Linked DNA regions of Drosophila melanogaster. Changing the gene in region 2 together with the main gene of any one other region gives a genetic interaction. Each region holds a gene or a part of one and is shown on either strand. Other genes may lie near its edges.

Evidence for each region.
Region 1: of chinmo (region 2) and dsx, changing one suppresses a phenotype caused by changing the other (phenotypic suppression), as found in Drosophila melanogaster (one study listed by BioGRID).

Annotation. Positions count from the first base shown.
Region 1 is NT_033777.3:7,964,296-7,969,133, forward strand, and holds the start of dsx (doublesex), read right to left. Parts: upstream 3,114-4,838; 5' UTR 2,168-3,113; intron 1-2,167. UniProt on the Drosophila melanogaster protein: Controls somatic sexual differentiation. Binds directly and specifically to the FBE (fat body enhancer) of the yolk protein 1 and 2 genes (Yp1 and Yp2).
Region 2 is NT_033779.5:1,649,422-1,654,302, reverse strand, and holds the start of chinmo (chronologically inappropriate morphogenesis), read right to left. Parts: upstream 3,046-4,881; 5' UTR 2,591-3,045; intron 1,529-2,590; 5' UTR 468-1,528; intron 1-467. UniProt on the Drosophila melanogaster protein: Required for morphological differentiation of postmitotic neurons during postembryonic brain development. Ensures production of appropriate neuron subtypes within a lineage by preventing precocious generation of late neuronal types of that lineage.

The DNA.
Region 1 (4,838 bases), on a different chromosome or scaffold from region 2:
AAAATATTGTTACCTGCTTAAATAAGTTAAGCCTATAAATATGTTGATACTCGTAAATCGATAAATGGCCCTCTAAAGCACAAAAATAAAAAAAGCTTTACATCAATCAATTACATATCAATAATAAAAAAACCAAATAATATAAGTAATATAAGTAAAAAGTATACATGGGAAGAATGTGGTTAATATTTCTATATTATATAGATAGGGAATATAAGATTCTTCTACACTTCTTGTCCACTTTCTCCACACCTGCTGGCGTGTTTGATTCGTGTTTAATCTAATTTGCACTTAGTTTGACATTATGGTGACTCATTGAACTTGCCTATGCACACAGATTCACACTCAAAATGTTTGACGATTGATTAGAACCTAATGAACGAAAGATAGGGAGAAATATATGTGACATAGACGAAAGCCAGTATCGATGAGAATTTTAATCTATTAGCTAGGTGACATGTAGTGTGAGCGTTTGTCTGTCTCAATTTTCGTTTGCTGTAATGACTTAATTTCGGAGTCTAAAGAGTTAATACCCTGTATTTAAATGGAGGGTAAATTGAGCATGAACGATGTGCTGATAACGGGTCTCACATTCGTGCTAGCACCAGATACCCGCCCCCTTCTTCCACCGCCTCCCGCTGGCCACGGCAAAATGTTGTTATTTTGCCTGTGTGTTTAAAAACTGCACAAGATTGCTTATCTTGCATGTCGCCTCTAATTTGTATGAGCTGAGAGACCCGCAGAGAAATAATTCCTCCGAAGAGCCACTTTAAGAGAAAGACCCTGCTGGCTATCAGTTTTCAATATTTGTGTTTGGTGGAAATAATGACAAATATAAGCAGGGAAACAGTGGTCAAAGTTGCCAAAGGAAAAGCGGATTAAATTGATTACGGGCGAGCATAAAAAATGTGCAGCTTGCGCATGTATGCTCAATTAATTTGTCTAAAGCGGAAGAGATCACGATAAGAACCCACTTCAGGTTATTAATGGGCCAAGGACAGCTCGGCGTTATAAATGGCAAAAGCACCTTAAGTCGATTATATGATAATTGCAAGTGGGGTGCAGCTTAAAAAGTTGAGTACAGATCATTATAACTGTGCACTAAGAAAAATGCATTTACAGGTATTTTATATTTGTATATATTCTTGGGAAAATGTACCAAGCTCAGATTTATATTATACTAAAATATTCGTCTTGCTAATATGGTTTAATAACTTACTTAATATAAATCTATGAGTAAAAAGTCTGCATGTTTGCTGAGGAGTCAAACGGCATGCTAGGTTCTTATACCTTTTTTTTTAAGACTACAGACAGGTGTACTCGATCTTGCCATTTGCGTCATCCGTCTTCATGAAAGTCGAGATTTCGTGAGTGAAAGCAAGCTGCAGTTTCTACTAATGATCTCTTACGCCCACTAAAATATGAGTTTTAACTTAGCAAGGCTAACTATGTTATTTCGACTACAAATGACAAGAATAATAGCCAAAAGAAATGAATAATTATCCCCAAGATAACACAAAATATTAAAGGTAAACTGTCCTTTCGCGCTATACACAATGAGCATTGGCAAAAATTTAAGTTCTAATTTACATATATTTTTTATAATTGCAGCACTCGTGAATAATCGATGGTAAGCTTTAAAATTAACAAGAAACGCCTTCGCTTCAACTTTAATTTGAATAAAAATATTCAGCACGTGTTTATCGTTTTAAGCCAGTTGGTTTCCGTATTTGTCATTTGCATTTTCCTCATAACCACTTAGACCTTGGTCCAATTTGCCTTATATGTATGCAGTCATCTAGGATAGCCGATCGCAAACGACAATGGCAATGGCCTACGCTATCCCAATCTTAGAAACTAATGCGGGAGTCTCATAGTGTGGCTGTAAAACGCGACCTGTTGCTCGTTTCCTGTTTAATTTGGAAGTCAGACAATAGCCTGAACCCCTGGCTCCCCCCCATTCAGCAGTCATACCGCCAGTTGTAGATGGCAATCGCTGAGCGTACCTGCTGCTATCGCCATTAAGCCTTGTACACACGAGCATTTATGTCAGGCAATTACAAGGCAGTTTGCAACGCCCCCAAATGCCGGGCAAAAAGGTGGCAAAACGGAGCGGAGTGGTGGCACATTTTGGCCGCAGAGCGCTCGTAACTCATCGTTCACTTACCAGGTACAATGCCAATTGCATGCACTCGCTAGAGTATCTCCAGGTCCACTACTAGACCACTAGCAGTATATGTATCTGTATCTGCATCTGCGATCTGCCTCCGCGAGGTGTGCTTTGCTCTTGGTTATGCAAGCAAAGTGAGAGAATATAGCACTAGCACTCGGCGAACTCGATGAGATACGGGGAGTCCGATCGGCTGGGTACGAGACGGTCAGGAGTGCTTCGTGGACCGAGAGTGAGAGTGTGAAGCCGGTAAAAATTTATTTCTTTTATTTGTTATCTTAAACCGTACAAGCTGTAGCCGCAAACGACTTTGTTTAGCATGGCACTCGCGGCTCGATCTGGTTCCCTGTAGGTCAACGCATTTTAGAGATATTTTCGGACCTCGCACAGCAACTAAAAACTATCGCACAGAATTTTGTACCGAATCCGCTCCAGTTCTTTTCACTTCAGCTTGAGATTGTGATTTCGAGCACGGAACGCGGACGGCGCGAGACGCCAACGCGACATGCACGACCTGCAAAGGACGATCGATGCCAGCAAACTGGTTGCGGCCACAAAGCTAAAGCTCCCCGTGCACGATACTAACACTCGGACCAGTACCAGTCCGACTAGCAGACCAAAAGACAGCGGACAGATACACGGACATTCAGGCGGACGGGCGGACCTAAAACTGAGCATGTGTTTCTGGCACAGAGACGGGCCCACCGACTGGCGACGCAACGCTCTTGCTATTTGTATTTGCACTCTGGTTGCTGCACCGCGAAAAAAGAAACGAGTGCGAGCATCCAACCTGCTCGACTGCTGGATGCACTGCACATCAACTGGGAGAAAGCAAATTGGTTTGGTACCAGATATGGATACCCTTATTTGACCGTTTTCATTGTAAACCCTTAACTATGCTCTTTTCCATAAGTAAACCATGCTAAAAATAACATAATTTAAACACAATTCTTACAATATGAACTATGAACTATAAAAAAGTATTGCAAACTATTAAATCGTATGTAATATGAGCTAAATTCGCCGCGAAAAATATAGGTTCCGCACTGCGGATACTTAATTCTCCTTACCTGCGTTGCATACTTTTAAGGGCTAATTTCCGCTAATATCAGCCAAATAAAATGTATTTTAAAAAATTATGTATTTGAACGGAAAATGTTTTAAAATATTCATTACTTCTGTGTTGCTATTTAATATGTGAAATACGAAAAACGGTCAATTATTTTAAATACTAAGTAAATAGTTTTTAAACAGAAACATTTATACGATAGAAGGGCATTTCTTTCATCGGTTCCCACGATTTTTAGCAAACTCATAAGCTCGAAGCAACGTTGGTATGTGAAGAACTCAAACGAAAGCATCTTGGGCAACAGAGAGTTACGGAGAGAAACGGGTCTGCGAGAGTGTAAAGTGCATTTGCCCCATTAATGGGGAGCATAAAACATCGAAGACGTGCTCTTCCTCTCTGAGCGATTCTCTCTTGAAGTTCGCGTGTTTTTTTGCGAATCTCTGCGAGAAGCTCGAGTGGAGCAACTTTGTTGCCGTACATTGACGTCTCCCGCCTGCATGTGCCGATCGTAAATTTGCACTCTGGTCGCTCTCTCTCTCTCTTCCGTTCTCTTTCCGCGTGGCGCGAGAAGAAGAAGCGCCAGATATGGGGAGCATCGAATCGGGTTTGGGCGTCTAGCCGACGATATAGGTCGAACCACTCAGCTGGGTTTCGGCCTGCGCCGCGTATTTATGCCACCTTTAGACGCAGCGATTTGCGTGTGTCGCACTCGCATTTATCACATTGAAAGGTCCCCTTTCATCGTCAGCCGTTATATTAGTCAGGATCGTTTATACAGTACGGCGGAGATAATTTTGCCGAAGCTCGGCTCCATTAAAAGATACTTCCCTCAGGCGATGCACGCAACTCCCAAAAAGGTAACCAAAAATGGTCGAGAGTTCGATTTTTGGGCAGTGAATCGATTTCGAAAGGGCCTTCGGTACTTCAGTAGTTTCCCATTGGTGACCAAATTGTAGGGGAATGAATGGCTCAGCGATCAGAAAACATTAAGATAATACTCATTAATTAACCGTTTTTGATTCTCGTTTAGTGTTTCAGAGACAAAAGTTATTAATTTAATATTTAAATAAATGAAGTGATAAAGTGACTTAAATTTAATGAATTTATGTAATTATTTTGACTTGCTCATACAAAAATTGAATTTAAAGAAAATTACTTACTTATTATATTAACTATCAATATCATCGAGGTAATGTGAAAACTTAATATAATTGCATACTAGGGTACTACAACATATTATTTAAAAAATGTTTACGAAAGTGAGAGCGGAAGGCTTTGTCATTGATTTGCATGAAACTGTATATATTGCATAGGCAAGGGGATACATTTTTCATCCAAATCCGATTTACATCTTCACCAATTGATCCCGTGCCGATTGTAGAACGATAAAATTCACATAGCTTTAAAGGCGCATTTCTTGCACCATTTCTTGTACCTTGGATCGCACAAATTTTAGCCCTTTTTATGGCGGAGTGTCGAAAGAGCTTGGCTGGGGGCATCTGCATTTGCAATCTCATAAATCAATTAGCAAAGAGCGGCGCGGGAAGAGTATCTCGCGGATACGCATCCGAATCGAAACTCGTTTGGCCGAGTGCGCTC
Region 2 (4,881 bases):
AAGTAATATATTTTTAATTTATGCACAACCCCAAAAAATATCTACACCCCTTTCCGTGCGTGAGTGTGTGAGAGAGTTTGTGTGTGTGTGTGCGTAGATACACATGTAGAAGTGACAAGCAAGCAACTTTTGCTTTTTTCTCGCGTATTAATATGCAACGCCAAGTTTTGAGTGTCATAAATCATACGCAAAGTGCGTAGACAATTTTTCTCTTGACCAAAAAATGTTTTCCTTACTTTTTGCATAAATTATAATTGTAATTAGAGGCGGAGCACTTGCCTTTTTTTTACGAGCGGTAATTGTTTGCAAATGTTTGTGGACACTTTCTAAAAAAAAAAAAAACATTTTTCATTTTACGCACTTTTTCGTGCGTGGGGAAACTTAAAAGGGCCATTAAGAAATGCGAAGAGATGTGTGAAAAAATGACAAGTTGTGAATTTTTCATAAATATAACATAACAAACTCACCTTAATATTCAATTGCAAATTTACGCATTAATCCAAATCCAGAATCCTCAGTTGTAACACCTTTCACAAGTGGTAATTTTGAATTTATAAGTTTTTCTTTTTAGTTTTTCTCACTTCACTTTTTTTTTCACTTAGGCCAAATGTTCTAGTTCTTTTTGTTGCTAATTAGTTAGGATATATACTCGAGTTGTTTTTATCAAAAATTGTTTACCAAATATTCTCCGATATAATTCGTAAGCATAGATATATGTATAGGTATATATTTTATAAATACATGTATTACGATTGGTAATTTTTTTTTTTACTTTATTCTTTATTTATTTTGTTAAATGATTTTGCTTTGCTTTTATCGAAACGAAATTTTTATGCAAACTAACACACACGTTTTATCTGCTGCTTCTGTTGCGGTTGCTTTTACTGTAGTGATCACTGTAGTAGTTGCTATGGCTGCTGTTGTTGCTGTTGTTGTTGTTGTTGTTGTGTTGCTGTGTTTAGTATTGCGTATGTCCGAACCAATAATTTTGAATAGTTTACCAATTTGGTGGCTTAAATTTTTGCGGTTTTCTGCGTTTGTTCTAAAAAGATTTCCCTCGGCTTTTCAACTGATTTTGGGCTGGTTTTTGCTGACGGTTTTGGTTTTCCTTTTGTTGCGTTAAAAATTTACATTGATTTTATTAGATTGTCATCTTAGTTGCAAATCATTTTCACGTGTGGACGTTTTGAGATAATTACAATTTGTGTATATTTTATGTATGATGTTTTGTTGCCAAAAATCGTTTTTTGTTAATTTATTTTTGTTGTATTTAATTCAAGACCAAAACTTATGTTGCCAATTTTAGAATTTTGCGTTGTTTTTCGAAATGTTTTTGTTTTCAGTTCATTTTTAGGTTGATTTGTTGCAATTTCGCGTTATTTGATTCAATTAAATTGATTTTGAATATTTAGATGGTTAAATGTTCTTGATTCGCATTTTGTAGCATTCGCTGGTTTTGAGGTCGTTGAATGTTTTTCTTGACTTTCCTAAAATTTGCTCGTTGAGACATTTTCACATTGACATTTGGCTGCAAATACAAAAGCGGTTAGAAAATTGTTATTAAAAAGTGTAAGTGGAATTTGGCTGATTGAAACTCAAATCTATTCGGGGATAATGTGACATGTTTTAAGTATTCATTTTCTTTTTAATATTATATTAATTTGTCACAGTTCACCCGAATAAATTTCATTTCATTTGTGCCCAGAATTTCTGGTTTCTTATCAGCCCGATTTCTTGTAAGTGGAATTGGATTAATGATTTTATTATCGCAGAATATATTTCATTTTCCCATTTTGGGACCGTAATTCCCACTTTGCTTCTGGCAAATGTCTTTTATTCTACTCAAAAACACTTTATATGGCATTGGGACTTGGAAATTTTGGGGAAGGGGAAACATTTTTATTTGAGCAGTGAATTGTCTAATTGTTTTAAGAACATTTACTTCAAAACTATTTTTAAGAAGTTTTCACATTTTGTAGTGTATTTCTGTAGTTGTTCAACACTTGTTCACCGTTATTCTACACTTTTCTCTCGCTTTTTTGAACAAGTGTCCTGGGGATTAATTGCATTTTGCCTTCTTTCCTGCACTTCATGCACTTTCCTCTATTCTCCCTTAATTGCTATTTCGTAGCACACACACACACACACACACACATAAACACACAGTGCAAAAAAGGGGTTCAGTTCACTGGTATTGCGCCTTGTTTATTTTCAGGGGGAGGCGGAAAACGGGGAGGGTTGTTTATTGTTCCATGTACTCCTCGCTGTTGTTGTTGTAGTTTGCTTTTGCTTATTTTTCTATTGTTGTTGCTTGATTAAAAATGCAGACGTTTTGGTTATGCATAAAAGTCTATACTTCACTTTTTCTCAGTTTGCTTTTGCTATTCGCTTCATTTTTTATGCTGCGTTTTGTACCGTTTGAAATTCGAGTTGCAAAGTCACACACACACACACATAGGCCAGAATTTCATGTGTGCGAGAAAACCAAGTACACACGCATAATTGTTCATTTTTGATTTTATGTCACTTTATTTGAGCTTTGAAACATACCACATGCACTTCAATATGATCAATATTCACTCAAAATTACCTTTGAATTACTAGGCGAACAGCCGTTTTGCAACACTCACGACGCACTCACGCACTCTTGCCACACACATGCACACTGGACAGTTAGTTTGTGCATTTGCTTTGCTCGACGAAACACAAACAAAACGTAAATAATAATTAAAAGTGTTCAATGCCGCAAACTTTTAGCACTTTTCGCTTTTTGCACTTCATCCGCTGCAGTTCTTTCAGTTCAGAAATGTAGAGAATAACTGTTTTATCAAGCGGTTTCGATTCTGTCCGTGCTTCCTCGTTTCTTAATTTACGTGTAAAACTTGAGTTGCCTGCAGTTGCCAGGGCTGACGAGCGACGAGGCGATGCGAATTTGCGACTGCGAATGCGAATGCACAAACGCTGCTGCTGCTGCGAGCACCACCGAAACAAGCAACCGCGAAACTTCAACACGTCCGTTCAACACGGCAGTTTCTTTTTGACTGCCGATTCGATTTCGATTCCAACAGGCGGCGAACGAACAAGCGTGCAGTGGTGTGCTCCGTAGAGAGAGAGAGAAAGAGAGCGCGAGCGAGCGAGCGAGCTTTTAATCCAATTGGAATGCAGGCGAGCAACTTGCAATTGTCAGATTGGACATCTCCAACAAGGATTCTTAAAAAGGATAACCGAAAATAGTCTAAAGTATAACAGAAAATAGTTTACATATTTTTTTTTAATGATTTTTAGAACACAATTTACTCAGGCGAGTAGAAGTAATGGTCGTTGCAACTGCTTTTTGCATGTCTTTTTCTGTGTGTATGCACTGCCGCCCCAGGATAAAAATTACATATATCCTCATAATCCGGGGGTGAGTCTCTCACTCTTTCTCTCACTCTCTCTTTTGCAGGCGCAATTGCATAAGGCAAAGGACATGAGGTAATTTATAGGAGCTCCGCTCAAGTGGAAAATGTTTAGGGAAATCTCGTCCCGAAATAGCAAAAGCAAACCTTAACTTGGTCTTAACCTATTCGAACAGCGGGGGATTCCATCCAGGTGGTCTCTGAATATTAGATGCAATAGAAATAGGGTTCGCAAGAGGCGATTTATATGGAAAACCACTTTAAGATCGGCACAATGAGTTAAGATGGGAATATGGGAAAAATGTTAATTGCATAGCTTTAATGCAAAAGAACGCATTACGTTTCTTTAAAATCTTGATCACTCTCAGAAAACAAAAGTAAAGGATAAAATTTTTTTAGTGGAATTCTTTGGAATTCTTTAGAAAATTCTTACAATTGGTCTTTGATTTCTAGGAAGAAAACAATAATAACCTAACTACTCAGTTCTCGCATAATTTGCATATCCCTTGAGAACTTTCCGATCAAACCATCAAAATTGGAACAAAAACCCTCAAAATGCTTTTCATTTCTCAGCCCAAAAACTTCCCCTATTCACACAAGTGTCAGGAGTCCCTTTTTTGAATGCAATTCCCATCAAAAATATCAAATTCCTAGCCAATCAAACAATAACCACTTAATTTTAGTGGAAAAAGAGTTGATAAAGTTGAATCAAACAATTACCTTATTTCTATTCATTGACAGTTCGTTAGCAACAGTATTTTTTTTTCAGTGCAGCCTTGCCAAAAACAATAACAATGCGCATTCGTTTTGCAGTGAGCGAAAGAGAGGAGAGAGCGGTAAGCTTTTTTTTGGCGCATGTTTTCCCATTCTCTCTCTCTCTCTCTCTCTCTGCTGCCATTTTATGCACACACAATGACAATGAAAGCTTGTCGGTAAAGGGGCGGGGTGTGGTAAGGGAAAACGAACAATTTACGCGATTCAAGAAACACGTGGAGTGCCGGCGTCGAAAATCCAATAAGCAAAGGCAAAAGCTCCTGCTTTTGCTGCTGCTTTTGCTTCCCCAGTCGGAAGTGGAATTATTCCGGAACGCGTTCCTTAATAATTCTTTTTCGATGCATTTTAAATTAATTTCATATATTTTTATTTTATAAAAATACCACTAGATCAAACCCTTTCCATAACGAAAAATGCAGTGCATTTTTCGGTCGAGCGCCAATAAACCTCACTCCACCTCCTAAATCCACCCCTGTGCTTCTCTTTTTGGCTCTCCATTTGCTTTTGCAGTACTGCACGCACTTTTTGGACCTACGTCTTCCCCTGCTCTTCGTCACTCAACTTTTTGCTTAGCTACACAACTTTTGTTAGCGCACTGAAAAAAAAAAACGTGGAAAAGGAAAAAGTAATAAATTAAATAATACTAGAAGTACAAGCAATATAATATTATTATATTATATAGTAATAATAATGTAACAATATATATAAT